Oreochromis niloticus: one gene and its partners. The protein of the gene in region 1 purifies or fractionates together with the protein of each later gene. This does not show direct contact. Links are inferred from orthologs where the notes say so. Each region holds a gene or a part of one and is shown in the gene's direction. Other genes may lie near its edges. The genes, in order: wwp1, ptpn21, spartb and smad6b.

Region 1 (7,570 bases):
AGCTCAAGCTGATGGATGAGGCAGAAAGGAAGGGTGATCAGTATTGGTTATTTACAGACCTAGTTGGTCTCTTGATCAGCTGAATTTGATGAGTTGAAGTAACTTGTGGTCTTGTTCATGGGCAGGGGGAGAGTGGAGCAGGAGATTGACAGACAGGCTGGAACAGCATCTGATGTAATCTCGGTCCTCTATCGGTCTGTTGTGATAAAGAAGGAGCTGAGTGTTAAGGCAAAGCTGTCAAATTACTAAACAATGCTTTTCTACCCTCAACTATAGCCACAAACTACAGATACTACCAGAAAGAATATAATCTTGGATACAAGGTGCAGAAATGAGCTTCCTCTGAAGGGTATCTCGTTCACAATTACAGAGAGGATAAAGATTTTGATTGTGAGGGGCTCAGAGCTGCTGCACCTCCACATTTGAAAGAGCCAGTTGATGTGGGATATCTGGACTATCTATATACTATATACTGGAGCGATTATGTGTCTGGATGGATGGATGGATGGATGATATCTGAGATATGTAAGCCCTTCAAAAATCTGCTGGCACTGGTTAAAAGCTGATGTCCACAAATTGAAATCGTTATCCATATGCACTGCGTAGTTATATCCAATCAATATTTTTGCAGTAATGGGCTGAATCTGAGTAGAGAATATAATCCTTTGCACTTGACAATTAACCCTGCTACAAACAGCAGCATTGACATTATCAATAGAAACACAGTTCCACTGCCATAAATGTCCATGCCATAAGTTCGCCAGGTATGCTGGCGAACTTATGTGGTATGCTGCAGATCATGAGCTGTTTCCCTCTGTCTCTATGCTTTGCTCCTCCTGCCATTCTGGTACAAGTTAATCTGTTTTTCTTCTATACAATATTTTTTGTCCAAACTGTGCACTCATTTAGATGCTTTCTGACAAAGGTCAAACTGTCCTTCTTGAGTGTAACCAGGCATTTGCACTTTGTGGTAAATCCTATACATGTCCCCAATCATGAAATTGCCTGTTGATTGTAGATCAAGCTTTCTTAGATTGCTTATCTTACCCTGTCAAGTTCACATGGGTTCACCTTTTCTGGAGCTGCATATTTTGTTGTCTGTTGGAAATAAGTCCAGTGGCACACATCCAGGAACATTTCCATGTTCTGAAGAATTATTTATTTCATTATTTTTGTGGGCCCAATATAACAATGCAGTTGTGAGGACAAAACAGGTTTAGAGTATGGGTCTCAAACATATGGCTCCTATTGTAAAATGAACCATCTTTCACAGTGTGATGATGCCAAGAACAATTTCTAGATCTCAGCAATTTGTTAGAAACATAAAGTTGTTAAAACGCTATTTTTTTTATTACATTACACATGTGAAGTTTTTGTGTCTTTGTGGCACCCCTTTGCTCTTTCAGTGATAATGTGTGTAATGACAGTAGACTGACTAAATGCATTAAAAAAATTTAGATTAATTAAATTTTAAGAGTGTAATAACTTTTTTTTTAAAGACTTCCCTTTTTATTAACAGTTGTGTAAATTGATTCAAGTTTTAAGATTGCAGTTGTTCTTGTTTACTCTAAAAATTATTTTTCAAACAGGTTAGACAGTGATTTTACTCACTGGGCCATTTGCGATACTATTTTATGTATTTCATTTAAACTGACGTACCCACCTGCAAATAATTCATGTAAGATTACAGAGTTTTCTGTGGCCTCTGGCTCACCAACAAATGAGGGTCACAAATGTAGTAACCCTGGAAGGTTTTGGACCTGTCATTGTAATAAGTCTCCATTATTTTTGCAGACTGAGATGAGCTGTTCACTTGAGAGATGGATGTGTGATGATTACAGTTCTAATGATTCTCATAACATCATTTATTCAGTTTAAATGTCATCCACACCAGGAGTCCAGCATGCACCATACCAGGACCACACAATTCAATAACAGTGTCATCAATTACATCTGCACTCTTCCTGGAATTACACCCATCTGCCTGCCACAGAACAGCAGTTTTTATTTTAGGATTATTTGTTAATTAGTCAATCATTTTAAGCTCAAAAGCATCCCCTTGACTCAAATGCTATTCGAAATTAGGAAACAGATAATTAGGATTTTTACTTCCATGTGCCTACTAACAAAAAACAGTACAGACTGAGGTTCGTTATAATAGTTGATCAATAATACTGAGCGACCACCAACACAGCATCATCTTTAATATAATTCTGAAAAAAAAAACACCCCTTCCAGTTCATGTCCTCCAAATACTTCCTCAAAAAAGAAATTGTAAAAACTTAAACATTGAGACGTATTTTTTAATTCAAACTTTTATTTTTACCCAAATGAAGAATCTTTAATTTTCAAAAAGAAACTTCACCACTAATTTAGGTCCTGTATCTTTATTTTAATTCATGTCTAGGTTTTGGAGTTCAAGGCTTTCAAAACTTCCTTTTAACATAATTTTAAAGAAAGCCTTGCTTTAATTTGCTTTAAAAATGATATTGACTACATCATTTGACATTATTTGTGCAAATTAACAGTTGCAATATTTGGTATAGACAAAAGGCAACAGATCTTAGTAGAAGAACTGTTATTAAGTGTATTAAGCACAGTACTGAGATCTGTCGTCATTTTAGGTTTGGGCAGCTTGGAGTCAATTCTGCATCATATCAAACGGGGAATAGTCAATTTAAATCCCAAGAAAACCTTCACAAATCTTGTAACGAATGTTCTTAAGAAGAGTCTGAAAATTTGACATTAGAGACTCCAAGACAAGTACACATACCAACTAGTTAAACCCACAGAATACTTTTACATTTCTGTTGGATAACAAAGCTTTTTAGCCTTTCGATTTTGTCCCAGTTTACCATCTGTATCTGTGGACTGTTCAGTGGGTAACTTCGATACTCGAACATAACTGACAAAAACTTTTATGATTCTTGTACGTGCATCTTGTGTTATACCCTGTGAGCTGTTGTTCCTGTATAATGACTGCAAGCTTTTCTGAATTTTATTTCATTTTATTGTATTTTATTTTTACTTTTTTGTGCTCCAAACATTTAGCAAAAAAGAGACCTCAATCCCACGAGACGTCCCATTAAACAACCATCAATATCTCTATGTAAAATATAGAAAACTTTTGATTTTTCCAGACAATTTAATATAACATTCATTACTGTAAGATTTTGTAAATCATCAACCACACACATGAAAAAGAGCAGCAGATCCTCTGTAAACAACACCAGCAAGGGTCTGAAATGTGTCTGTATAAGTTTCTCTTTAATATGTGGAAAATAACGTGTTAATTATAAGTCACTGCAGTATTTTTTTGTTTGTTTGTTTTGTTTTTTACAAAATAAAGCTGGCTCCAGAATCTGAATGTACTCTGTATTTTAAAATGATAAAAAAATAAGCATCAGGACACACTGGCAGGAAGAACTAGGCACTGAGCATGTGTGGGAAAAATGTTGTGGCAAATATTCACAGCATCTATATAAATTCTTTGCACACTCTGATACAATTCAGTCTTCCAAAGACTTGCACAGATGAGGTTCTCAAAAGATTATAGATTTTCTAGAATCACTTATTTGATTTCTTCACCAAGGTTTTTAATTTGGAGTGCCCCTTTGCCCCTCTTAAAGCATTATTTGGGGTGGTAGACTCAAGCAGGTTACACATCATGAAGAAGCTCTATCCACAGTGTTAGCAGGAAAAATTCTGCTCCAGTCTAGGAAGTCTGAGACAACTCCAATGTTTGATAAGTGGCTGAAAGAATTAGGAAATTTGCTACACTTGGGGAAAAATATGTAAAGTTAGAAACAGTATGTCAGACACAGTGAGTCTCTTTCAGAAAATCTGGTTAACAATCACAAGTTGAAATCAGTCTCTAATGGTCTTACAGATCAACAACAAGGCAGGTAAAGGTGAACACTAGTAACACATCTAATCGTGTATCTTTCTTCTTTCTTTTAAATATTTTTATTTTCTAAACTTTAAAAACTACAAATATATTTTTAAAAAGCATCAGGTAATATGAGGTTACATTACATCAACACATTCAATTACCACAAATCGGCCTAGTTTTCGTTCCTAATGTATCGGTGCCCGACAGATTTATGGGGGACCTAGTTGGGACGCACACCCCCCTACATCATTTTTCTGGTAAAATTGGTTAAGTAAACGGGAAACGGGACTTTCAGTCAACATTGCCTACAACGTTCAGTAACGTGAAATGTAAAAATAAATAAGTTTTGAGATTAAACAAACAAACAAAGAATATTTTAAAAGGAAAAACAAAAGTTTGGATTTTATTAATAAATTGGATCATGACGAACCGAATATTTTAGTTAAGAGTTTCCGTTTAGACTACATAAAAGTAATAAATGTGCAGTGTATAGCAGTAAGCCTGTTTCGTGCCCCGACTTATTACACGGCAGTATTACCCCTTTTCCACTAGTATCTACTGGGGTGGCGCGCCTGTCGCCCGTGTGTTTTGCTAGTCATAGGCTTCTGTACAGAGATGGCAAGAGAGCCGTAGCAGACTGAGGGGCCTGCTCGGCTGAGGATTTTACTGACAACCGTTGCGTTAGCACACAGCAAAGATACAGAGTGTAGGAAAGTAGAGGAACAGCGAACAAGGTAAAACACCCCTGCTAATGTCACTTAAAGCATTTAGAAAGACGTTCTCCGAGTGTTTAAATAGTATTTCTTGATAAGCCTGTATTTTATATGCAGCCGAACTGGCTAGCTTTGTGATGGCGGACAATTAGCCCAGATGCTAAGTAAGTTAGTCAGATAGCCGGCTAGCGAGCAGCTAACTTGGCTCACCTAGCTAGCGTCTGCTGTAACGTTATAACAATATGCAGATGTAGATTAAGCAAACACGCTACGTTTTTAGTTATGTGCCCGTTATCACCTCTTGGTTTGTCAGATGGATATTATACACACAGTAGAAAGGATAGTCACCTAGCGTTAAGCTACTTTCACAAGACTAAAATTGTTTTGCTTTTTTTTAACTGTAGCTAGCTGGCTACCTTATTGATAGCTAGTTACAGACTAGTACTGCTACACATTTAAAGGTTGTCACCGGGAGTATCTGCACTTATTGTACGTATGTGTGTTGCAAATAGATTTAGGAGGTTAAGTGTCCCAAGGCCAGTAGCTGCCTATTAAGTTACACTTTGTAAGCTAATGCTAGCAGTCAGTAGATTACCCCAAAGTTAGCCGCTGTTCGATAACTGTACCTGAGTTTGTGTGTTATGATCAGTATTTAATATGTAAATTAAGCATTGCTAGCGTATGGCCTGCGAATTGTGTCAAAGTGGAATCAATCTTCTGCTTTATTATCCATTAATCCATGTGACTGATTACCAAACTTTTGCTCGTGAAAGGAAATGATATGTTACCCTTCAACTTTTAAACGTGTTGACATTTCTAGCCTTTGGGTGTTTCTCGGGTCGTAGACAGTGCTTGGCACAGGTGAATGTGAGCCTGACCCTTGAGCCACAGCTGTTTATTTTAGTGTTGCTCCAACTTGAGTTATCCAATGAATAGTGAGTTGAACATGTAACACTTTCAGGGTCTCTAGCTTTAAAGACGAAATTCTGAGCAGAGACAGAGTAAGAGAGACCATATTTATGTGGGCTCCGCTAACACCTGATGAGAATCCCTGTCAGTACTGATTAGGCCCAGTTGCCTTACATTTCCCTTTTCTGGACAGGCTTGGTCTCAAAGAGAAATGGTCTTTCATGGCTGTGTTTGTTTGAGTGGCTGATGCAGGTTTATGTTTATACAGTATCTGCTATTGTATTTCAGGATTCTTAGTGTCTTGCTGTCTCTCTGTCATGAACAGTGGTTTAGTATTTAGGCTATCACATGCTGTGTATGCTAGTGCCACATTGGAAGGAAATTACTTAGAGTAAAGTGTCTGTTAAGGCAGCATTATTTGCCTGCTGGCTCTAAAATATGCTTGTTTTTGTGCTCTCACTCACTTGCAAAGACACTGACCTTTTGAAAAGCAGGAAAGCAGCTGTGGGTGAAATTAGGAGTTGTAGCCTGCTACCATTGTGTAAAGCTTGTGTGTTTTGCCCATGTGAGAGTTTTTTTTTAAGTCTGGCAAAATAAAAGAGAGCTGGACTAAAGAAACTTTAAAGAGCTTTTAGGGTATGGGGTAGCGTAAGAATAATCACCGTCTTATTATTTTGGATAAAGATAAGATTTACTGTATTTGTCTTAAAGTTAGGAAATTCCTGCTACATTAGTTAAAAATTAAAATAAAGAGAACAAACATAAAAATAACCCAAGTAAGTAATAAATAAAAAAAATAACCATGTCAGTCGGTGTCAGGTTAAAAACAATAGTTATTCAGCTTCAGGACTTTTAAACATTTAAATATACTTTATATGCATTTATGCTTCAGTCCTGTTCATGGTCTGCCCGGATGTGTTCTATAGACAGCTGTAGTACAGCGGGCATGTGTGTCTATGTATAAACTGTTATGTGCGTCATTAGGTCACAGGAAGACGGACAGTCCATTAGAACAGACAGCAAAGCTTGTTTGACAGGTGGTGTGAGAAAGGATTTGTCTTGGATTTTTACACACAAAGGTGTACACTTACAGAAACAAGTTGTCTGCTGTGAAGCAGATTTTTTTGTTAGCCAGCCTCTCCTTTGCAACCTTTGGAATAAAGCAGGAACATGATCAGACAATCATCACAAAATACAAAATGCATGTCCAGCAGTAAGCACGTTACTCTTGTTTTGTAGGCAAATCTAACCCTGTGCTAACCCTGCTGGCAGCCAGCATATTAAAACAGATAAGCAGTCCTCGAGCAAAACAAAGAAAACTGAAGTGAACCTAAGATTAAAGGTCCTGTGTTTTTTATGGTTTTATAGGTTTTTTTAATAACTGTGAATTCATCTGGTGTTACCCAAGAATCCAGATCCTACAAATAAAATATTAATTGTCCCCTAGACTTGCTGTTAAACCCCTCCAAGCAGGTATTGAACAGGTTCAAAACAGGTATCTGTAAACACGATAAGCCAAAGTCCTTGGGTGTGTATTAGTTGGGCAACTAACAATTTTCAGATTGTCAGTAACTCTGAGCTGTTAAAAATGTTTAAATTGTATTTCAGAAAACAAATTTAATTGCAATATTAAATCAGCTATTGAGTTATGATCCTCTTTCAACCTTGGTGTTTAGGAGTCAAACACCGCTGTATAAATACCACTCTGTTTCCATATTTCTTGCTCAGAGATGCTGTTTAGTAGTAACCCTCACAGGTCCCACTTTAATCAATACCTGACATAACCCCTGACTTGGGGTGGCTGTATCTCAGGAGGTAGGGTAGGTCATCTACTGATCAGAAGGTTGGTGGTTCGATCCCTGGCTCCTCCCCCTGCATGCCAAATGTCCTTGGGCAAGATATTAACCCCCAAGTTGCTCTCCAATACATCCATCAGATGTGTGTGAATGGTAGTTAGAAAGCACACAAGCACATGCTTGTGTGAATGGGTGAATGTGGCATGTTGTATAGAGCGCTTTGAGTACTCTGAGAGAGCTATATAAGATATATTATATAA
Region 2 (7,967 bases), on another chromosome or scaffold:
GGTTTGGAGGATTAAAGGTGCGGCTTTCAAACTTAAGAACACTGTACCATTTGTCAAACATAATGGTTGTAGCATTGTGCTTTTGAGCTGTTTTGCTGCCAGTGGTACTGGTATACTGCACAAAGAGGATGGAATAATAAAGAAGGAGGACTACCTCCAAATTCATCAACTTCACCTCAAATCAACAACCTGACGATTGAAACTTGGACACAATTGGGTATTCAAATATGACAATGATCTAAAACACACACCAAAACTGATTTGGGAATGGATAAAGCAAAGCAAAGCCTCAGCCTCAGAAAATGTGTGAACTATGTATAAAAGCTGGTTCTGTACCAGGAAACCAACATGTGAATGACCTCAACCAGTTCTGCCAGTAAGAGTCAAATATCCACCAAGAATTGTACCCGAAGCTTTTTAGTGGCTACCTAAAGGATCTGGTCCAGGTGCAGCATGCTAAGGGATATTTAACCAAATACTGGTGTAGATTTATGTATATATTTGAGCCTGTATGTATACTTCTGACCCTGCGTGGATCAGAGAAAATCCTAAATAAATTCCAGCTTGTGCACAGATTCTTGTGTTTTACATTACATTACATGTCATCCTTACAGTCTAGACTAAAATTAAAATGTACAAAGAAATAATTAAAAGCTGAAATTACCCTGAAATTCATTCACATGATGAGTGTATGTAAACTTCAGACCAAAACTAAGTATTGTGTTTAATTCTGTTGTGTAATAATACTAATAGTTTCTATCTTATCCACCAGCTGCCATTGATACCTCAGTACCCAAAAGCTTGCTGTATAGTGTGAAGTGTAAGTATACATATATATATGGTGGCCATATTTTCTTATGACTCATACAGCAGGAGATGTTGGGACAAAATAAATTTAGATTGTGTCATCAGTTTAGATAATATTGAGACAAATAATGCCATAATTAGCAGTGCATATAATAAATAAATAATGGGTAAATAAAGTAAAGTATATGCTTTGCTGCTGGTGATAGTTGAGCAGTGCAGAGAATTGTATCTATTGTGCTACTTCAGTTGTTTTAATACCTCTTTACAGACAATGACCAGATCAAGCAGGATCGGTTGAGGAAAAATGGCCGTCCTCAGTCAGCACCTGCACAGAGGAATAGCAGAACCTCATACTCTTCATCACAGGTAAGAAATTCTGGCGTTGTCATTGATCACTGCTTCATGTAATGCTAACAAATTTTTATTAGCAGATTTCACGCAAATGCAAAGCCAACTTTATTTGCTTGAAATCTTTTTCAGTCTACACAACAACAGATTCACCCCATGTGTGTTTTTTAGAGCAGATTATCCATGCAGTATGATGACAGCACCTACCTTTGCTCGAGGAGCTCCTTGGTCTCCAGCCCTAGGTTCAACACCGCCTTTAAAGTCAGTGAGATGGTTTATCCATCGCTCAAAGTCAGCTCTCATCACACTCGCCCAGCATCAGAATTGAAGTATCGGAGCCCGGAGACAGCTTTTCGAAGAAAGTCGTCAGCTTGTTCATTGGCAGTTTCTGGAGATCAGAGTTCCTACAAAACCTTCCAGGACCCTGTCCGGAAGACATACAGCGGAGACTTGCTACTGAAACATTCACAGCACTTTACACAAGACAAACCTTTCACTCCCAAGACCTTAAAATCAGATAAGAGCTCATACCTGTCAAAATATCGCTACTACAGAGCACCACAGAGAAAACCTACTCAGGACAGCAGCAACTCAACATCGTTTCAGCAGGAGATGTGTGATGGAAGGTAACGGCTGAATGTCTTGATGAGACTGCAGATCTAAAGTTGTGTCTTGGGAGATTTTTTTTCAGCATGTGCTGCTTGTGTCTTCACGTGTCTTTTGGTTGTTTTCATACAGCGTAAAGAACAAGGACTGCATGCAGGATGTTGATGAGCCATCTCAGGTAATTTTGATTTGATTAATAATGCATACATATCACAATATCTCGGTAATACTTTCATTATCTTTTGTTCCCTTTAAAATATGCCTAAAGCAGAAGGCAAAACAGAAGCATTTACAGGCTAAAGAGTACAGAATCTATTTGATCACAAGAAAGCTTTGACAGAATTGAATTACACTTCCCATTTTCCAGCCTTCTTTTCTTTTTTCTCTTTTTTTTCTACAGGGATTTATTACAGAGCATGAGTGGTTTGAGGATGAGCTTAATGGCACATATTCATCATCAAGACAAAAGAGTCGAGCAGCCAAGGGCAGAGAGCGCAGTTTTTTCGACTCCTCGTTCAGGTGAGCTCATGCAGTAGAAAAGGACATTGTATTTTATTATTTATTTAATTACTTTCTTTCGTAAAATTCTTTAAGTGTTTAAATTTCATCTTCTAGGGTCTCACCAGAAAACAGGAAATCTCCCCATATGATGAGAGTGTCCACAGAGTAAGTTCACCGACCTTCTGATTAGTAGACAGATTTTAACAATCTAAAGTAATACATTATCTAATAAATGAATTATTGTGTTTTGTTGACGAATAGAGAAGAAGAATTAATGTACCTTAAATTCATTTCCGCTGTGACAGAAGATATCTTGTCCAGGGGACACATTTCTGACAGGTTGAAACATTTTAATATTTTTACATTTCTGTGCCATAGTTAGATGACAAATGTACAGACGTTTGCACAGCTTGTTAATAACTTTGTGTCTGTGTCTGATAAAGGAGTTATTGGTTAAATAGTAGCTGTGAGAGTCTTATTTTGAGTAATTACTGACATGTAAGTGTCTGTGTCCTCTGCAAGGGTCCTAGACCGTGTGTTAAATCGGCACTTCGACATGAATCGTCATCAACTGGATGAGGTCAGCATGTAATTTCGTGCATAATACAAAAAATTTTAGGCAAGTCATGTTCATGGCTTTTTAAGGTGTTCTTGTAAGCCCCGTGCTTTGCTCGTTTTTAGGGTAAAATGCGCCACCTGCTGGAAGTGTTGCGTAAAGACTTTGAAGAACCAACCAACATATCCAACTCCAGTGCAGAGCTTGAAAAAAAGGAGAATTATCTGCTTGATAGCCTCCTACCATGTCTGGAATCAGTGGGAAAACATGTAAAGACCAAAGAAGACAATGACTTGTTCCCTTATGTGTCCCCGATTAAACACTGTGATTTCCCAGCTTATACTGATCCCTTATTGGCTTCTACGCCCTTACGCTCTCCTGCAAGAACTCCTTCTCAAACTGAAATAACTGAAAAAGATAAGAAGGGTGACCGTGAGGGAAAGTTTATTGACTGTTCTTTGGTTAGTGAGCATGTCACTGATAATACAACAGCCAGTGAAAAGGACTTCCATATAATAGGCACAACTGTTACAACCAGCACCCACAGTGAAACCCAGGAGTATTCTGCTATAGCTAGCGATCAAGAGGAAACTGATGGACAGTCTAAAGAGCTTGAGGATCTAGGGAAAAGTTTGTCAGAGTCGTTGCATGTGTCCAGCAACACACACTGTGAAAGCGCTGCCAGTGAGCAACATTCAAATACAGGGGCTTCTGGCAGCGATGATGAATTTTAAGTTTTTATTGTACTGTGGGATTTTATGTCCGTCTACATTTTTACCGAGTGAAGTGTGTTCCAGAGAATGAAGCGATATTTCACATTTTTCAAAGGTGTCATATAAAAAGAAATAACACTGGTTATTTACGAGCCTCACTAAAGAGTGTTGTACTTCTGCTTTGTTTTCGATGAATTTTTAACAACAAAAGCACAATGAAAATGTCAAAAAAAAATAAGTCTGAGCTTTAAAGTTCTCATTTAGGATGGGGATAAGCTTGATCACTGTAGTGGCTGAGCTGCAGTTTACCTCTGCAGTCAGTTTCAGTATACTGCCTGTTAGTTTTAAGTACAATGTAGCACAAGTTAACATTTTCAGATAAGGTGTGAAGTGTGTTCATCCTGAAAAGTCCACTGTTACCAGAAAGTGTCTTTACAACTGCAATAAAATTTGCTTTTTATTCACTGCTTGCTTCTGATTATTGAGACTGTCATTGAGGTTCTTAACTTGGGAAGTATTGCAACTGGGAAACTATGAAAAATAATCTATTATATGTATATAATAGATTTTATGTACACTTCACAGGTAATCTGCAATATTCTACTGTTTGGTTATACACGTCTACGTCCTCATACACATTCATTTTCAATGCTAATGTGCAACATCCTCAAGTAAATTCTTATTTTTTAAATATTTTAAATACATACCAGTGTTTACCGTGCTTAATAAATATAGTCAATAAAGGTTTTATATTTATCTGTTATTCAGTTTTTGTGCAGTGTGTCAGGGAGTATAAACGTGATTTCGTTGTGCTTGAATCTTGAAACTATTTATTAAGCAATATCGTGTGTTTGCCATTACAGCTGTCGACTAAGCTATGGGTCGATGTAAAAAGTAAACAGACAGGTCCTCGCCAGCAGTGCCTGACAGCTGTCCCATTTCTGGCATTTTCACTGCTCGGCATTCCAGCTGTCTGATGTCATCGCTCTGAAAACCTGCATGTATCCTTCCGCTCCAGAGGAACTACAACAGATTTTAAACCGTTTGCTTATAAAAATACACTTAACCAGCTAGCTTGTATAAATGTTTAGTTGAGTTCGTGTTGATTTCAGTGTAGTCCAGGAATGAATTGAAGGCTGAACAAACAAACGCCAAAGCAATAGCGCCGCGGATGAAGACCGAAACACTTGTTGCTCTTCTAATCCCAGGAAGCGAAACACGCTTGGAACTTGGAGTGAACACTTGGACCAAAAGGCATGGGGGCTCTGTTAGTTTGGATCCAGAACAAACTACAGACAAACAAACTGCCTTTTAATCTAATAGTTATCCAGTAAGCAGCAATCCATTGACTTTGGTGGTGGAATCCCTAAGGACTGACCAATAGTTGGACTACCAAGTTGCATCTGGTGGCTAACGGTAACGTTGATGTTTTTTTCCCCCAAAATATTTACCGGGGGCGACGTCAGCTTCCCAAGGGTGTCGTCTATTTGCTGGAAGTTAGCGGGCTAGCGTAAACGCTAATTCCAAACCAGTTGTAGTGAATGTAATGGATTTTCTTAAAGTGACTTAAAAGCAGCTAGATAGTACCAAATGTACCAAATATGTGGACTAAGAGTTTTTAATTGTAGCAGTAAAGAAAGTAGAGTTGTAACTATCAATAATTTGAAATATAATTGATGCATGGTTTATGATTTTGAAGTGCCTGCTGCTTATAGAATAGGTCGCACTTGTCGGTGTTTGGATCAGACTATTCGCCGGAAAGTGATTACTGTAGCCATAGGCGTAGTAAAATGACCATTATAGTTAGCAGTAAGTGCACAGGTCAGAGGGGACATCCGTAGGATTTGCCCTTTCTGCTGTGCCCAGATTGTTAAAGAACTCAAGAGGTGGAGGAATTGTAACGTTACTGAGACCCCATTGCTGTCAAAATGAAGCATTAAGGGGATTACTGATTACTTTACGGTAATCCCCGTGTTAGTCTAGTCTTAAGGGTAAGTATCGTAACATATTCTTTAGTGATGAGTAAGGCCACGCTCTTAAAACTAGTTTTGGTTGTGGTTTTTGGATGCTCATCTGATTGATTTTTCCGTCTGACTTTTCAGACCTGTGTGCTGATGATGAACCCCCTGACTTGTTACATTATCACAACTTTGTGGACATCAAGGAGAATACTTCCTCTGGCCTGAGTGGAGACCCCCTCTCCACTGTTTAAGACGCCTGAAACATGCCCTTGCCGTTTGGCTTAAAACTCAAAAGGACTCGAAGGTATACTGTTTCAAGCAAGAGCTGTCTTGTCACACGGATTCAGCTTCTCAATGGAGAGTTTGTTGAGTTTACACTCTCAGTGGAGAGCACTGGACAGGAATGTTTGGAGGCAGTAGCCCAGAGACTCGAGTTAAGAGAGGTATGTAGGTGTTTTTTACGCAATACAAGTGCTGATTGTTCTCTCTTATATGGACTCTTTAAGACCTGCCATCTCAGCAAGAAAGTATTTTTTTGACTATTGTCTGCTGGTCACATTCTTACTTGAAACTAGTAAGCAGAACAACAGAAACTATGATAACTAGTTTGTCATTGTTTACTCATATAATGTCATTTCCCATAATATTTCCCAAGATGTAATGACTCAATCATTTCCCAGTTAAATACTTTACATAAACATATGGGACATTGAGAAACATGTAATTTAAAAAAAAATTAAAAGCAGAAGTGTCATCTCTTGTAGATCTTGGACAGTATGCTTATGAAAATTACTTCTAAGCATGCATAAGATAATGTACTGAGGTTCATGTCCAAGTCTGGCATTTATTTATCATGTTTGGTTAGTGATGCTAATGCAAGGCCTCCACCTTCATTTACTTTCTGTCACATTGTTTGCTTTTTTGATGTTAGTAGAGTTACTAGAGAAATCATGTGGTGAACTACTCACTCTGTTAAACTACCACAAGCACAATTCACTGTTACATTTGAACCATAGATATATCCGGGTTAGTAGGTCCTGTGTTTTGAATATAATTTTTTAGTATTGCTATAAAAACAAATTTTTGTGATGTTTACACAGTGCTTACTCATAGACAGCAGCTATTGTCCAGTGTAAAATGTCAGTAAACAAATTTCTGGTTGTGTTTTTAGCTGCTCTCTTACCAGTGTTCATTGGGGATATTCGGATAGTCTGAAGGCAGCACAATCTAGAGAAGTCTTATATTTTAGATTTATTTTAGATGATACATAACAGCTACATAAAAACAAGCAGACAAATCATATTAATGTTCCTATTTTTTGAGAAAATTAAATTTCACTGATGATGTTAAATTAAAACAGAAAAACCTCATGTCTCTAGTCTTATTTCAATATAGATACGTTTTTAAGCTCCTCTGTTTTCATATCGGTATTTATATCATTTGGGCTTTCTAGTTAATCTAAGTCTGGCCTAAGTGGGATGGTATAAGCGTTTCATTATTTTGTAAATTTATCTTTCTGTGCCTATAACAAAAATGTCAATCTTTCCATTGAGTAGTTTTCATAAATGATTTTTAGCCAGTCTTCGAATTGTGATACATCAAGTTGTGCTCACATTTTACTGGATTTATTTCCCCTTCATATAGTAGTACTGGCATTAAGCATTTGCCTTCATCAGTTGTTCTATGCTGTGGCCCACATATACACTGTGAAGGTGTCAAATGGAAATGTGTTCATAAATATGGTTTCTAAACATTTGTGGATGTCACGCCAACATGGCCAGAATTTCAGACATTGCGACTTTTGATTTTAAGGTCTGTTTATAAACAGGAGAAGACGTGCAGATTTACATTGGCACTGAGCTCTTAAGCAGTAGCCTATTGGTCTAGTCTTTAATATGTAGTATAAGTCTAAATGTGCCTGCCTGGATTACCGTTTGCCCTAGCGTGGTTAATGTTTAATCTGTCCTCTTGCTTTTTTGTTTTTGCTCGTTAGATAACATACTTTAGCCTGTGGTACTTCAACAAGCAGAACCAGCAGAGATGGATTGACTTGGAGAAGCCACTGAAGAAGCAGCTGGACAAGTATGGGGTGGAGCCCACCGTTTACTTTGGAGTCGTGTTTTACATACCCAGTGTCACCCAACTGCAACAGGAGATCACAAGGTGATCAGTGACAGGAAGTGTCTTTACAAAGCCACTGCCCTTTTTTCTCTTTTACTGTTTGTCGCTCAAGACTACTGGCAAGAAAAACCTTAGAGAATTTTAGACAAAATTTAGTGCTGCCACATCAAGTATTAAAAAGTTGTACTGACTATCAGCTACAGTAGTTAAAACACTCTTACTTGATTGTACAGTTTTTTGTTTTATTTTTTTTGGCCATAAAAAATCAAATGTTAATTTATCTGGTGCTGTATGCTAGATGTTTTGTAATTAATGATGTTATATCTGAAACATGAAGATAGTTCTAGTTTTGCT
Region 3 (8,300 bases), on another chromosome or scaffold:
GAGCCTTCCCAAATATTGTAGCATTGTTTCACCTTGGGGATGATAGTGCAAGACTGTGCAGCTTGCTGGAGTCAGAAAAGAACATGATCTCTCTGTCCATAAATCCCATAGCCTGAGACAGGTTTACTAGCGACCGTGATCCAGTTTTCTTTTTTCAGTCAGCCCTGTGCAGCTTATGTGGATTTCACCCGAGGACAATAAGCATTTGATTAAAAAAATAGGTCAGGATGCCCACATTTAGTTTTTCATAAAGAAAAGGTATTTCAATTTCCTCTCATTTAATCACTCTCAACCAAACTGGTGAGATTTGCTGATATAATAATAATAGAGGACACCAGTCACCTTTTGATTCTTACTGTTGCCCATACTTTTTTATCAGCTTTCTTTTAAGCAAGATTATTTTTAAACACTCACATTTTTTAGAGAACAGGGTTTTGTTGAAGCGGAACTTTTTCTTCTTTTACTGACTTTTTGCAGCCACTTCAGGGACACTAACTTTCTATAATACGGACCTCAGTGGAGGGCTGAGGGGAAACTGTGACTTAAGATCCTGATGTCTGTTAGGAAAACCATTAATTCATATGGGGTTTTATGACATGTGGACAAGCGGCGTGTATTTGTGGCTCAAAAATGCAGTGCAGAGGACACAGCTGCATCATATTTTAGTGTGTCTTTTACAGCTTCACCAGGAAAAAAAAAAGGCAATTCATTTTGACGCTTGCATTAATTGGAATCATTTGTTGTTCATTTTTTCGCATTTGTTGTGGTTGCACAATTTCCATTTGTTTCTGCTTGTGGTTATAGCTCATTCATGCACATTTAGCTCTTTAACAAACCTGTTTATTTCATGGTCATAATATAAAAACATGAAACACATGGGATACCACTACCTTTTTTGTTACTGGTTCATAGGAGATGTGCACTGGATAACAACATATATATTATTGTGTATTTATATCAAGTTCTAGTCTCAAGTTAATTGCCATCTTACACCACTGCAGTGACATAGTTGCCTTGTTATGGTGAATGCTTATTTAGTGGGCTTGCACGAGGACATATAAATAAGTAAATACAAATGTTAATCATTTACTCGAGATGAATGTCTTCATTTTGAACAGATCATAGTACTGTTTGGAATAATGAAGATTAAGAGAATTATTTATCTATTATACACACAAACACCATAAAAACCTAACATTAGACCTGCATAGCAAAAATCTGAGCCTGGAACAGTCCTTTATGATTGATTGCATTTGTGCTTCCATTTTGACAAATAACTATGAAAGAAAGGCTCTTCTTTTTGGCACACAGGCAGAAATTTGTTTACACAATGCCTGAGAAGCCCTTCAGTGCCATAATTCCTGCTCAACCCCTCATTTTTCTTCCGATCTTTCTCCTAAAGCAATATAAAAGAAATACTAAATAGAAATGGATGTGACCATTACTCTCTTCTGATTATAATTGTTTTATGAACACCGACCATCGCATATATGCTCAAAAAGTTATGGAAAAGAAAGCATCATTATATCTTTAACAAAGTGTATATCTGGAACAAAGTGACACTGACAAAAAGGCAGCAATAAATTACTGACATAACTGCGTCTACAGCTAAAATGAAAGTCTGGCCAAAAGATAAAAATAGATAAATATGAAAACAACTGCGTGCGATTTAACTGACTAATCATTAAAGTAATGGTATGTTTTGATCCGCACTGTGATTAAACTGAAGACTAGCAGTCTAGGAAAATACGAGGTCAGGCAGGGGGAAATTTGGACAAAACAGTTTTATTAAGGTTTTTTTAAGGGGCAATATGAACATTATATAGTAGTCATGTGGAAAAACCCCACAGAGCAGCCTGTAAAAGAGTTGTACATTCATTACAGCCTTGTCTCTGGTTCTTCCAAATAACTTCTTAAATAACTCATTTTATAGCTGCTTAATCTGACTTTTATCTTATAAACTCAAAACTAAAACTCCACAGAAAAGTAGATTACTGAATTTAAATTACTTGAATAATTGAGGATTAGCAAAGCCAAAAACCCACATGCATATCATTTGAGTGTTGGCTGAGATGTAACTCCTCATTCATCATTGTGCATGTGTTTCAGTAGCTCCATGAGTATTGAAATGTTGAAGTCTGTTTATACAAAGAATTCAAATAACCTGTTTTTGGTTAAAACAAATCTTAATGTTGCAACTCTTCATGAAAACAGCAACTAAACAGCAAGACTAACAGTCATACTCTCTCTGTTATACCAAGTCTAACTTGTAGTTTGTGCTGCAGGCATGATAAGTTATAGCTGTTCATGACTCAGAAAAACGAATTATTAAGAATATTCTTTATCCACATAGAAAAAATATTGCTGTGACCAAACTAAATCCATGATCTATAGATCTAAAGCAATCTGTCTTCCAAAATGATGATCCATACATACGTTGCCCATATGTGGACCAACTTTAACAACAGAAGACATGTTTTACCAGCCTGTTCCAGTTACAGACATTAGTCGACCTCTCGGTGAAGCAGAACAAATTCAAAACTTCCCCATCTGGTAAAATAATCAAAGTAAAGACAGGCAACCTGTTTGTAGTGCAGTCAGTACAACTGGACAAAAACTGCAGTGAAGTAGAGTATGATGCACATACAATTCAACGAGATGAATAATAAACTATAACTAACTTCAGAAAACAAAGTCGGTAATAAGAGAATGAAAAATAGATTTCTTTTTTATTCACTTTGAGCACAATTTACAGAAACACAGGAACACGGTTCTTATTAAATATGACCTTTTCATATTAAGGACTGGAGCTCAGATTCTTTGAACATCAGCTTGCCCTCGGGCATGACAGAGTTGAAAATAGTGAGCTAAAGCTGCACTGGATTAACACCGCAACATGTGTGAAGAGCATGTCCAGTCTGGTCCCAGTGTTTTGGCATCTGTGCTCAGTGAATACTGGGAATCTGTCAAACTGGAGATTAGACTTGTTGAGCTATTTTCCAGGGTCGCAGCAGCTAAGAAACTGATGAGAGTCAGACTACTAAAACAAAAACATAAGTGATTCAGAAAAAGTCCATTCTTAGTAAATTATGCATGTTGATTTGTTCTTATTGCTTTTAAAATGCCTGTAGGTTTCTGCTGTTTGATGGTGACATGCTAGGTAATTTCACAGTCATTAGAGGCGCATTTGAACCAAGCTGCATGTCTAATCATTCCCATGATTAGACAACATGTTTCAACTATGAAGGATGCTAAAAGTTTTTGATTAGACTGAACTCAGAGCAACATAAAAACTGTGCCGTTTTCACCACCTACTACTGAAAATCTATGTTTGAGGTAGGATTTGACTCCCTCTGGTGTGCAGTCTCAAAAATCTGAAATCTAGTCACTGAAGGTGTCTATGGCCAATGTGACATGTTTTTAAAATCCATAACAAATCTTCTATTTTTGTCAGTAGATTTGTAGATAAATTTCTTATTGTCCTTGGGGGCTCAATAACATGTGCTAGCAATTTCAATGAGCCATTTGCAGTGAGAGTGTTGAAAGAAGAACAACGAACAAGAAGTGGACATGTCCTGTCTGACTCACTTTCTTCCCCTCTGGAAATATTATACAACATTTGTATCAACATTTGGATGAACCTGCATAATTTTCTGTCAAGTCGGTCAACGGTTTGTCTGACTTTAAAATGATTTAGCACCGGTAAACAGATTCCTCAGTTTCACAGCTGCTGTGAGTGTTGAGTAAACAGGAAACGGTCACTGAACAGATTAATATTTCAGCTTTCTCAACAGCTGGGTGACCTGAGGTCAGCTCAGACCTCTGAGGTATAAAAGAGGGTTCCGGGAATCTCTTTAGTTGTTGCTGTTTTCAATTTTTTGTTGAATACATTCATTTCAGTTAATGAATACATGTCCACTTTATTACTTTAACTGGTGATTTAGAATCACCAATTAAACTAATCCATGTATGTCTTTGGGTTATGGGAGCAATCTTGAGTAAGCTGCAGACACAGGAATAGCATGCAATCTTCAGTGCATAGTTTAAGTTTGGACATCAAGCTCGAGGGTCATGACCACCTTCTTCAGGACAGCCTAAACTCTCTCAAGCAAATGTTCTTGTGAATTTCTTGTAAGGTCCAGGCTACGGGGAGGCCAATCCATCACCGATAGTGTTCCATTTTTCTAAAGAAGTATTGTAGCGGGCTAAGGGGAGGAGCCACTAGCTTAAAGACTCATGGGACTATTCATCTGACATTCACGTGTTAAGTTACAGAGTTATAACAGCTATTCCAGTTAACTTGATCTGTTGTTATTGTTATTGTTTAACATTATTGCAGCTGTTTTTCTGTATTGATTGTGGCCAGCAATGGCCACCATGACTGAGGCTGCTGTACCAGTTAATGACCAACGTTGTGATTTCGGGTGACTGTTTCAAAAGATGCATGCTGGTAGTTGAAAAGTGTAAAAAACATAGGGTCTCCAGGTCAAACTAGAGATCTCTGCCTCCTTCTTTGCTTACCCTTGAAACAGTATAATATCACTGTAATGGCAGTATGTTTGGCATTAGTGCATCACCCAAGATTTCCCAAAAATTTAGTTAATAGCGCCAAAGAAAAAATTTATAAAATTTTTTTTTTTGAAAACAACAAACAAAAACATGAGTGTGGCTTGAGACTGTTGAAAATGCTGCATTGTGAACTTGCTTTTTATCATAAGCTCAGCTAGTTTGTATTATTGATGCAAACTAACTGCAAACGCTCTTTATTAATATTAAAATATATATATATACACTGCTATCATTGAGTCACCGTTTTTGAATCTATATGGAAGTGTATAATGTGTATAAGTGTATAATTTCTGCTTGACATTAATGGAACTGAAATTTGATTTAATGGAAAATAAATTGTTGCAGTTGCTCACTATGACCAGTAGATGGAAGTGTCCCCTTATTCAAATGGTTCATTTATCAGTAGAAACAATTTGAATGGATGCTTAGTGACCTCTTGTGGTTATAGTGACGAACTACAAAAATTGTCAAATTTAGGTGGTTTTCACTACTTCCGGTTGCTATGTTTTTTAAAGGGGGGCTGACATATGATTGTATTGGGCACGTCGGTCGCGGAACTTTTGCTTTGAAAGGTCAGTAATGACCTCATGACATCACTAGGCACTCCTTTACTTTAGGGAGTCGTCAAGCAGAGAAGCCTAGTTTATTTACTCAGGTTCCTGGTCGAAGTTAACACTCTTTGCTAGCTAGGAGGAACGTTAGCAGGCAAATTAATAAGCTGTTCTTTGGTGGTTTTCCGCTCTCTAAGGTAAGAGCTAATATCATTCGCTATTAGGTGAGTTGGAGCTAGCTGACAGCTAGTAGTTATCACTAATTACGACTTCATGTGTTATATATATATGTTGCTGTCGGTACACTAAAATCGTGGCGTAACTCCTGACTTTGTCCGAACGCAGATGTTAGCTCTTGTTGGTCTGTGTTAGCAACTTTAACATGAGGATTAGTGTGTTTAAAGCCTGTTTTAGTGGATCATTTTAAACCAGTAACACTGACGTACGTAACGAAAATAAACCAGGTTACCTGTGATCTCGAAAGACCAAAAGGGCCATTTGCGCGATGTGTTTTATTTCTAAGTGACTTGTACATGTGAGTTTGGGGTCGAAGTTAAGTAAGCAGTAAAATATTATTTGAATAACCTTTAGCCCTTTCAGAGTCTAACCAAGATAATCATTTCCCTGCATGTACTGTACTTTCTAGAAATTTACATGTAAATCCAATTGTCTTGTTTCAGAGCAATGGAGAAAGCTAAACAAGATGCATTTGATAATGCCAGACTTCAAGTGATCAAAGATGGCTATGAAAGGGCCTTCGAGTGCATCAATAAAGGACTCACTGCAGATGAAGCTGGAGACAAGAGTCGGGCCCTGGAGCTCTACAAGAAAGGACGACAGCACCTTCTTAGGGCTATCAGTGTGCCTTCGAAGGGGGAAGAGTGTGTTGGCAACTCCTGGGAGTCAGCAAGGCAGATGCAGCAGAAGATGCAGGAGACACTAAACAACATCACCACCCGCATGGCCATACTAGAGACCAGCTCTGACCCTGAATCTGCAGTATCTGCCCCTGATGCAACAAGTATTTCTGCGAAAGGTCTCTACCCGGGACTTCCCACCACAGAGAAGCCAGCACGGCCACCTCCACCAGACATTCCTTCTGCTAATGGTCAGCCAGCTAGAGCTGTAGGAGGTTTGCCTCCAAGCGGAGGAGTGGGTCAACCCCTGTCACCTACCAGACCCTCTGCAGGTCCTGCAGAACAGCCTCCAGCCTACTCTCCTCAGGCGGCTGATGGTCACATATCTGTCTCATATGGAACAGATTCAGGGGAGATGTCATTGGTCGGGGAAGAGTTCTACAGTCATACATCTAACTCGACACCTTCCCCTCAGAGCATAGGTGAAGATGGAGAGGAGCTGCTGTACATTCCCCACGGTGTGCAGATATTTTTTGTCACACCTGAGGGGCAAGTGAGCGCTCCCTCATACCCGGGCTACCTGCGGCTGGTGAGGTTTACCAGTGATCACTCAGACAGAGTGCCTAATCGACCACCAGCATTTCTGCAGGTAAGAGGAAAAAAATTATATGATTTTAAAATGACACATTCATGCAGTGTTAAGCAATCACTGGAGAAAATAAGTTATCAATTCTCTCCCTCTTTTTCTTTTTTGTGTCCCTTTGCCCGATTTTATAAGATGTTTGCTCAATTTCTCAGTATCCCCATTACAATGAGTCATCAGCAGAAGGACATAGGCCAGTTAAAGATCAATGTCCCTCCTCCAAAGGACAGAGTCATGTGAGGGTTGTTTACCTAATGCCCTAATCCCAGTAGGTTTATGGCTATGATGTCATCCTCAGGGGAATCGCAGACATGAATCAGATTTGGGGCACAGGTGACTATATTCAAAAAAAGAAATGAAGTTATTTGGAGTGTTCACATGTTTAGGTATGTGCACTATGCCAAGAATATGTGTGAAGTTAATTTGATGTTTTAAAAAGAGAATAACAGTAGCTAGGAGCTAGATGGGCATGCTCCTATAAATGATAAAGGGTATAAAGGTTTTTTTAGTAGGAGGTGGTTTGTTTGTTTGTTTTTTTACACATTTTTACACATTAAAAACTAAAGCAGTGTTTGAACATTAATATCTCAAAGACCTTTAAAGATGAAAACCTAAAAGGTTTACCTGAAAATTGAATCAGGGTGTGCACTTAAAGGCAAATACACTGAAACATGACCTGGGCTACTTAAAAGAAAAAGGAGTCGAACTCAGGACCTCTTTGCTGTGAGGCAACAGTGCTAACCACTGCACCAATTGTTTCATAAAACCTATAGAATACATATTAACATAAAATTCTTAGTCATAAAAATGAATAAAACACTATTTTGATTAAATTTTCAATTTAGTCTTATCCAAATAGAATAAAATTCTAGAATTTCCAGATGGTACTCTAATTATAACAGAAAAATTTTCAACACTACTTTGTAGGCATGCACATTATCCTGGAAGAGTTTTGTCATTCAGTTTAAGCTTAAAATGTACTATGAACATTATAATGAACATTTTTTTATATAATATAACAATAATGAAAAAAGAGAGATTAGTTGCTTATTTCACATGAGTTGTCTTGCAAAGCCAAATTGTCCACATTGCACAATCGATGGTCCGCTGGACCCTAACTCTAATGCCTCAACTGTCACATGAAAGCAGGGATCATACTTTTTTAACATATCACATGGTTTGTGAATCTTCAACAATGTTTGAGATGCTTTCCAGATTTTTCTTTTTCTTTTGACTTGAAATAAGTTGGTGAATAAAAAGCAATGATGCAGTGAAATCAAAGGTTGTGAGGTGTTTTGAACTGCCAAGTTGGATTTGTAAAGGTCAGCACCGCAATCAGTCAATGATAAGATAAGAAAGAGTTTGGAGGTATGTACACAGCTTAAGTTCTTTATTAAGGGACTAAATCAATACCATCAAATGTCTCTAACCTATTCAGGATTATTTGTTATGATTACGTTTAGCTTTCATGCCACTAGTGTCATGAGACTAAAATTTGCCTATTCAGTAGGGGAATTTCCCAGGTGTTATTGAAAGTGTGTGACATCAGTGATTCACATGAGTGCAAGTAATTACATAAACCCTGCTTACACAGTTATGCTCTGTAATCTTGTTAGACATGCAGCAATCACAGGATGACTGTGTACTCTAGTTTGTCTCACTGTGTTGTGCACTCCTCAG
Region 4 (7,591 bases), on another chromosome or scaffold:
AAGTCTTCCCTTACACGCTTTCACACATGCAGCATGCATTAGTGGAGCAGGGCTCAGACACAACTGCACAATGAAAAGTTCAAATGCCAGAACTTTGATTTCTCAATTAAAGTAAGGTCCATGTTTGCTTGGGGTTTTTTTGCTGTTGTTTTGTTTTGTTTTTTGTAGCTTTAAGATAGCACTTTAAATAATCCGTTGTTTCAATAAAAAACAATTAATAAGGCATATTGCCTATGAATGTTTAAAAACATGAAACGCCACAGGTTGTTTCAGGCAGCATGTATCATACAGTCATTGTTCTACTGTAGCACTTTGCCATTATAAGAGGACATGCATATCGCAAGTGCTATTTTTAACAGCTGTTGTCTTGACGTTTCTGTGTCTATCTTTGAAACCTTGGAATAATCAAATGCACAACAAAAGTCACTTAAAAGAAAAAAGAAAAAACATCCGCTCTGCCTGATAATCACAGTTTCTCATGTAGGAACCTCTTACAGTCCATCGTGGAGCTGTAAATACCATTTTTGCATTGGCCTACTCTTGTTGGTATCACATTGGCATGATATGTGCTGCTATGAGCTTTTTCATTCTTAATACATGTTTAAGAAGAACTTCTCTTTGTTCCTTTTGAAATTAAATATGTCCTCCATACGTGAACTGAATTAAGTGTGCAGTTTGCAAACTGATTTTACTGGCATTGAAGTGTAAAACTACAAAGTTCAGGGGCATTTCAACCGACCAGTGTTTAAACAGATGGGCAGTCTAATTTATTAATGAAGAGTCACTGCTGGTAGCTTCCGATGTCTGCCATTGATCCAGAATTATACATTGACAAATGCATGATGATACTCAATGACTGCAAGAGTAAATGTCGGTGCATAAATAGAATAAAATAAACAGAAATGAAACAGCATTGATATATAATACACTTGAATAAAACAAATTGTCAAGTTGTTTTGAAATCATTACTGGCATTTCTTATTCCAAAAGTGTTCGCTGTCTTCTTTGGTGAACACAAAGTAAACAATTGTTTTCAAAAATGCATGCCGTCATATAAACAAATCATACAAATATATAAAAAACTGAAATCCACAAACTGGTTGCTTTGGTACGCATTTTTTAACACAAATACAAAAAATTATTTCAGCGTGAAAATCCAACCTCTGCCTTGATGATATCCCAGTGTCCTGTTGATTTAAAGATATTCACACAGGTTCATTAGTTAACTCGCTGTAACAGTGACCGAGTCAAGACCCTCTCCCAGGGTCACTGGATCATCGGTATGTAACTTACGCTGTACCAAATTTAAAGCATCTAATATGTCTGCATGCTCCTGATGCTTTCAGAGGTTTGCTTCACATGAATCTGTTCCAGCAGCGAGCATGGCAGAGCAGACAGCCTCACTGACTTATGAGCCAGCTGGGTCTTCTTTTGTCTTGACTGAAAATTGCATGATTCAAATGAAGCAGTACTCTGTAATAACAGTTTTCTTTTCCTTGTCTGACATGTGATTGAGTTACAAAAGGGAATGCATTTGCAACAGGTGCCTCTAACACAGTGCAGGCATGAGGGCCTCCACGTCTACCCTCAGTAACCTCCCCCTGCCCCAAAGCCCTGATCCTGCCAGGGAAATCTGATTCCAGTTCAGACACTGGCACAGTATGCTGCTGCAGCCAAAGCTTGGAGTCTCCACTGGAGCAACCCGGAGAGCTTCAGAGGTGTTCAAGTGAAAGCTGCATGTGTTTATTATGAAGTTTTTTTAAAAGTCAATGTGTCCATAGTTCCTGTTATAATACTGGAATAAAGAAACTCTTTATATAAGAGATACAGTTTTATATTTAAGCCTTAGATTACATATGTTCCATTCAAACATTACTAAGATAGTTATCAGGTTAAAGTACACTTAATATGAGTTAAAAATTTGTCTTGTTTAACATTTTAGCACATTACCAATGGTTGACTTGAGCATGGTATAATTTAATTTCCATGACAAGTTTAATATTGGGTTTAAACTTTAGTTACTAAGCTTTCTATTGCCAATCAGCAGTGTTTACTACTAAACTTTTAAGTCTTGAATTATGTTTTTTTTATTCTTGCAGCCTGTCTTGACAAGACAAGAAACTTGAGATTAGGAGGTGCCGAATCGTGGGGAGGTCAGTGCGTAAGGGTTCACCTGTTGTGTCTCCAGCCAATGTGAAGGCCACTGCCTCTACACATGTAATTTCTGTTTACTAAAACAAGCTGCTATAGCAGCTTTGCAAGTTCTAAAAAGCAGAGAGGGTTATCTAAAATAACTACGAAAACATATTAGTACGTGTTGCTTCACTAGTACATAAATAGCAAGGGTTTCTGAAACTGACATCCAAGCACCCACAGTATGGTATTGCAGTCCCATTTTCCCATACTGATACCAGTGTATAGTTCAAATGCTTAGTTAAAATATTGCAAAAGTGTTCCTATACTGTTTAGGAATTACACCATTTTACATGGTTTCAAAAGACTGTCAAAAGTAGCTGGACAATTTACCTACAAGCAGTTTCATAGACCAGTGAGGCCTGCACCCTCATTCTATGACACATTAAGCAGATAAAAAAATCTCAAGTTGATTCCAAGTGCTGAAACTGGAATTGGTAGCTTTTCACTGGAATTCTCAATATGAGGCCCAAAGAGATGCCAATGCAAGATAATGAGCTCTGAAAACTGAAATAAGTTCATCAGCGACTCAGAAAAATCTCTAGGAGTGTCCAAATCAACAATTTGGTAAGGTATTCAAAAGAATGCATGCAGTGTCCATCTCGGCTACACCGAAAACCTGTTGTTGTGTCCATGTTCTTGCTTAAGTAAAACAACTTCACAACATCTAACACATCTAAGGTGAGAACACTCTTGAGGAGTTGAGAGTATCACTGTCAAAGTCTACAATCAAGAGACAACTTCATAAATGGATATCCAGAGTTTTTACACCAAGGTGCAAACCACACTAAAGATCAAGAAGACTAGATCAGACTTAATTAGAAAACATCTAAAAGAGCCTGTACAGCTCTAAAATAAATCTTTGGACAGATGAAACCAAGATTAACTTGTACCAGAATGATGGGAAGAGAAGAGCGTGGAAAAGGAGATAAACAGATCGCGATGTGAAGCGTACCACATCATCTGTCAAACATGGTGAACCCATGTGAATTTATGGCTGTTAGCGGAAGTGAGTCACTCGTGTTTATGGATGATGAGACTGTTGATAGAAGTAGCAGAATGAATACTAACATTTCCAGGGCTATACTCTCTGCTCAGATTCAGTCAAAACTGATTGGACTACATTCCACAGACCAAGTAGATAATAACCCAAACCATACTGCAAATGCAATCCAAGAGTTTTTTGAGGCAAAGAAATGGGATACTCTTCAATGGCCAGTTCAGTCACCTGGTCTTTCTCATTTACTGGGGACAAAACTGAATGCATAAAGACCCACAATCAAGTCCTGGCAGAGCATCTCAAGACATGACACACAGCGTTTGGTGAGGTCCGTGGGTTCTAGACTTCAGGCATACTTAAAGACCAAAATATCCAAAAGTAAAGTTGTGTTGATCTGAACACCCAAAGCAGTCAGAAAACCAGCTAAGTGGCCCTGAGCCCAGTATAATGTGTAAGTTCTATATATAAGAATGTTTCTAACTTAATATAATTCTTACATATTTAAATACTTAAACTACGAGTTTAAATTGGGAGCATTTTGGTGCTTTGAATCAAAGCTAAAACTTCATGATGTGTGAATTTACTGTGATCAGCACTGCTTTTATTTTCACCCAGCAAGGCAATGCATGCGATGTCATCACAAAACTGCAGAAAAACTGTATTTTCAGTAAGAAAAAATTCCTAATGAGGTCAATGGGTCAAAGATTAGGTCTAATGCAAGATCGATCGTCCTGTCCGTCATCCTATGTAAATGCAATTGCAGGGTTTCCGTGTTCATGTAGTTTTATTATTTATTCATGCCTGTTTAGGTGAAGACAGACTGAAAGATGAGTGTCAGCATCATTATTTTTGTCTTATTTCTTTTATGCTATGTTGATGCTTTGTCTTCACTCTTCATAATCTCATAAACTTTATTAGATTATTTTCTAAAAATTTCTAGTTAAATTCCATGTTTGTGGCTCAATAAAAAAAAATGAAGTAGAAAACAAAATAAATAATGAAAATAATCAGACTTTTCAGCGGAGAAATAAAAGCACATATTGGTGCATATGAGCTTCTCAATTGTTTGTTTGTTTTCGCTTTCTGTAAAAACTTTACATACTAAGTGCAGTGGGTGTAAATAAGTTTTTGTAACTTTAACTTAAAAAGAGAGATGGGTGTTTCGCCTTTAAGAGTTAAGAAACTTGAAACCTTGTTTGCGCAACAATCAGTGCAGCTCAGCCGCCAAAGTGTCTAGACTAGCACATGATGGTAGTCAGCCAATGGCTCCACCGCTCTCCTCGGGGGCCCCGTGTATGTGTGTGTGTATGTGTGTGTGTGAGTGTGTGTGTGAGGAAGAGAGAGGAGGGGGGCTGAAAGAAAAAGAGCGAGAAACGGAGAAAGAACGGGACCTGGGCTGCAGTTTGGTTTAGATCTGAGCAGAGAAGCAGGAGCTCTACTCAGCCCCGGATCGATCGGCTTCGTAAAGCTCATTTCAGCACGCATGGACGTTTTGTTTGGATTTTAAAAAGAGAAGAAGTGCACTGACATCTCGAGAAGACGGCAAGGATCCTGACTTTGCGGTGCATTTACTTTGGATTAAAACGCATCGAAGTACCTCATGCTCTACGTGCCGGTGTAGAAAGTAGAACTGGGGTGGCTAAAAGTCGGGAACTGTTTGAGGCAGCGAGTTGTCGTCTTGCTTTGGAGGCTGTTGGCTTTGGATTATGTTATAGAATATATTACTATATGTTTTCATGTGTTCAGATTATTTTTTTATTTGCTTGTAAGAAAAAAAAGGCTGTAAACAGTCCATTCCACAGCGATCCTGGAGAATAAGCCACAGTTTCATAGTTTGTTTATTTACATTATAATCGGCTGAATTCATGCCTTTTGATCGGAATGGTGCAGTGCATTTGTTGCTCGGTTTTGCTGTTGTAGATGCAACCAAATCTCCTTAATTCTAATGTTGCGGTTTTGCCACCAATGCTCGTCACTTGGCTGTGCATGCACTGCACGGCATTTCAGCGTCATTAATGTTTTGCAACGACCGGAGAAGTGTCTTTAATATTAGGATATCCGTACAAGAGTAATAATAAAAAAAATCCTTATAGATTTTCAAGTTGTCGTATGTTCAGGACGAAACGCTCAGGTCTTGTGCGGCGACTCTGGAGAAGCCGTTTGATCCCAGATAAAGAAGGGGAAGATGGAATTGGCAAAACTGGTGAGGGCTGTAGGGACGATCTGTTCAGCTACAACCCAGAGAAAATTCCCAAAACGGAGTTCAGACCGATGACCCCTAGCGGGTCTCTTGTCGTGGACATAGGGGGTGTCTGCCCCGTGGAGAGCAGCGACTCGAGGGTCACGTCGGACCAGGATGGGGGTGCCGCGTGTGCCCAGGAGCAGGGCAGCCCCCGCTCGCTACAGGACAGCGAATGCAGGACGGTGACGTGCTGCTTATTTAAAGACCGGGACCACTCCGAGCTTAGGGGTGCAGAGACGGCTCAGGGCACCAGGGATCCGGGGTCGTGTCACTTCGGGCTGAGGAACCTTGGACCAGGAGACAGCGACTCTCCGGAGGCGCAGGAGGCGATGCCACGCACGGTATTAGAGCAAGAACTGAAATCAGCCACATACGCTCTTTTAAAACGGCTCAAGGAAAAAGCGCTGGATACCTTACTAGAAGCGGTGGAGTCCAGAGGAGGGATGCCGAGCGACTGTGTTATGATTTCACGGACAGAGCTGAGATTCGGCGGCCATGTGGCATCCCCACAGCTGCTTGTGTGTAAACTGTACCGCTGGTCTGACCTCCAGCACTCTGCCCAGCTCAAACCGCTCTGTGAGTGTAGGAGCTTTGGGGCCCCGGACAGTCCAACAGTATGCTGCAACCCCTATCACTACAGTCGACTCTGTGGGCCAGGTAAAAGAGTCTGCCACACAAACTGCATGCATGTTGTACCACAAAGGCCTGCAATGTAGCTTAAATGACAACAAAGCACTAAGCATTTGGGCATCTGCACTTGTTTTGCATGAAAAAGATTCCTCAAAGTTGTCTCTGTATTTTCACTTTGACACATCTTTACTGCAGAATATTGCGTCTTTTCTTTAAATGCAACAATTTCATATAACTTTCAAACATTTTCCATTTGATTTAAAGGCAGATCGTGCTAGAGTTACAAGGCAGAAACCAGCATTATTTAGGGGTGGGGAGTAAAGGGCCTTGGAAATTTTTCTGTCACACTGCTTTATTTGTCCTGTGTTGTTTGGCTTGGTTTCATACCCTGTGATAGAGAAAGGTTGACCATTTGATTAAACAGTTAATGATTACCGAAGCCATCTTTACTGCAAGGTGAGCAATAATAATAAGTGCGAGCAAAGGGACATGCATGAAGATTTGACAAAGCATAAATGTGGGGCAGATTACTTAGATGATACCTTGGGTAATTTTATTATATTTGTTCAGAGCGTGTGTTGAAAACAAGCCAGGATTTGCACACATTTTTCAGCGGTTTATTGTGCCTGTCAGTTTTGACCCAGAAAGTCGAATTTGAACAGCTCTGTGTTGTTGCAGAGCTCACTTCAGTGGCCTGTGACATCAAGTTTCCAATAAAGGGGAGTTTGTTTGTTTGTTCCGCTGTTCATGTATACAGCACTGTGTGTACTGTGTAGTGTGTCTGAGCAAGTCGGTGCCTTCAGAGTGATTGCCAGTACCTCTGTTTTGACTTTTTGTGTATGACATGTATGTGGCTGTTTAGAGTTACTCAGAGGTACAGCCTCGCTGCTGTATGTCACTTTAAGTGGCGTGTGCTGGAGATTAAGCTTTATTTCCACAATCAATCAGTTATCTATGGCAGAACCTCCCTGACCTCTATTAAACAGATTAGATTTTGGCAGTGGACGGGGTCTACGATTTGAAAAACCTTAAACGCAGGGCCACTCGACCCCGCTGACCCAGTGACAACGCCTGGTATCATGTGTAAAGATGCAAGCGTTAGTATTTCTGTCCCTTCACTGGCACAGGAGGAGGATTTTCCATAACATCCATGTTTACTAGAGCCAGCTGGCTGTGACAAGCACTTCAAAGTCACAAGTTTAACAATATCAGAATTCATATTGAGCAAATGAGGGAAACTGATGTGGATTTTGGCTCTGGTGTCCTAACACGCTGTCCAAATCGATCAGAACCGATTATATGTAACCTCAAGTGTGCTGACAAACCTTGCTGTTTATTGGTTTGAATAAGATCAGTTTGATAGACAAGAGTGTGATATTTGTTCCATCTGCTGAACCGTGAGCCTCTGCTGTGGGATTTTTTTATTTTTTTTTTTTTTGCTCCCACTGAAACTACCAAAATTAATTATAAGAAGAGGGAAAGAGGCACATACCCCAAATTGGGACTAAGGCTTGTAGTAGACATAG

Evidence for each region.
Region 2: the proteins of wwp1 (region 1) and ptpn21 purify together in Homo sapiens (affinity purification with mass spectrometry; 3 studies listed by BioGRID). This does not show direct contact. The link is inferred for Oreochromis niloticus from reciprocal best matches to the Homo sapiens genes WWP1 and PTPN21.
Region 3: the proteins of wwp1 (region 1) and spartb purify together in Homo sapiens (affinity purification with mass spectrometry; 5 studies listed by BioGRID and IntAct, counting the BioPlex papers as one, with this or other methods). This does not show direct contact. The link is inferred for Oreochromis niloticus from reciprocal best matches to the Homo sapiens genes WWP1 and SPART.
Region 4: the proteins of wwp1 (region 1) and smad6b purify together in Homo sapiens (affinity purification with western blotting; 3 studies listed by BioGRID, with this or other methods). This does not show direct contact. The link is inferred for Oreochromis niloticus from reciprocal best matches to the Homo sapiens genes WWP1 and SMAD6.

Annotation. Positions count from the first base shown.
Region 1 is NC_031974.2:27,338,031-27,345,600, forward strand, and holds the start of wwp1 (NEDD4-like E3 ubiquitin-protein ligase WWP1), read left to right. Parts: upstream 1-4,394; 5' UTR 4,395-4,626; intron 4,627-7,570. UniProt on the Homo sapiens protein: E3 ubiquitin-protein ligase which accepts ubiquitin from an E2 ubiquitin-conjugating enzyme in the form of a thioester and then directly transfers the ubiquitin to targeted substrates.
Region 2 is NC_031983.2:15,960,036-15,968,002, forward strand, and holds the start of ptpn21 (tyrosine-protein phosphatase non-receptor type 21), read left to right. Parts: upstream 1-4,589; 5' UTR 4,590-4,947; intron 4,948-5,633; 5' UTR 5,634-5,755; coding exon 5,756-5,935; intron 5,936-7,485; coding exon 7,486-7,655; intron 7,656-7,967. Other genes in the region: spata7 (spermatogenesis-associated protein 7 homolog), read left to right, coding at 773-820, 1,076-1,173, 1,327-1,781, 1,894-1,939, 2,162-2,280, 2,377-2,427, 2,524-2,601, 2,785-2,842 and 1 more.
Region 3 is NC_031979.2:30,837,760-30,846,059, reverse strand, and holds the start of spartb (spartin b), read left to right. Parts: upstream 1-4,998; 5' UTR 4,999-5,141; intron 5,142-5,147; exon of another isoform or gene 5,148-5,317; intron 5,318-5,800; 5' UTR 5,801-5,804; coding exon 5,805-6,626; intron 6,627-8,300. UniProt on the Homo sapiens protein: Lipophagy receptor that plays an important role in lipid droplet (LD) turnover in motor neurons.
Region 4 is NC_031972.2:51,546,036-51,553,626, reverse strand, and holds the start of smad6b (mothers against decapentaplegic homolog 6b), read left to right. Parts: upstream 1-4,440; 5' UTR 4,441-5,302; coding exon 5,303-6,092; intron 6,093-7,591. UniProt on the Homo sapiens protein: Transforming growth factor-beta superfamily receptors signaling occurs through the Smad family of intracellular mediators. SMAD6 is an inhibitory Smad (i-Smad) that negatively regulates signaling downstream of type I transforming growth factor-beta.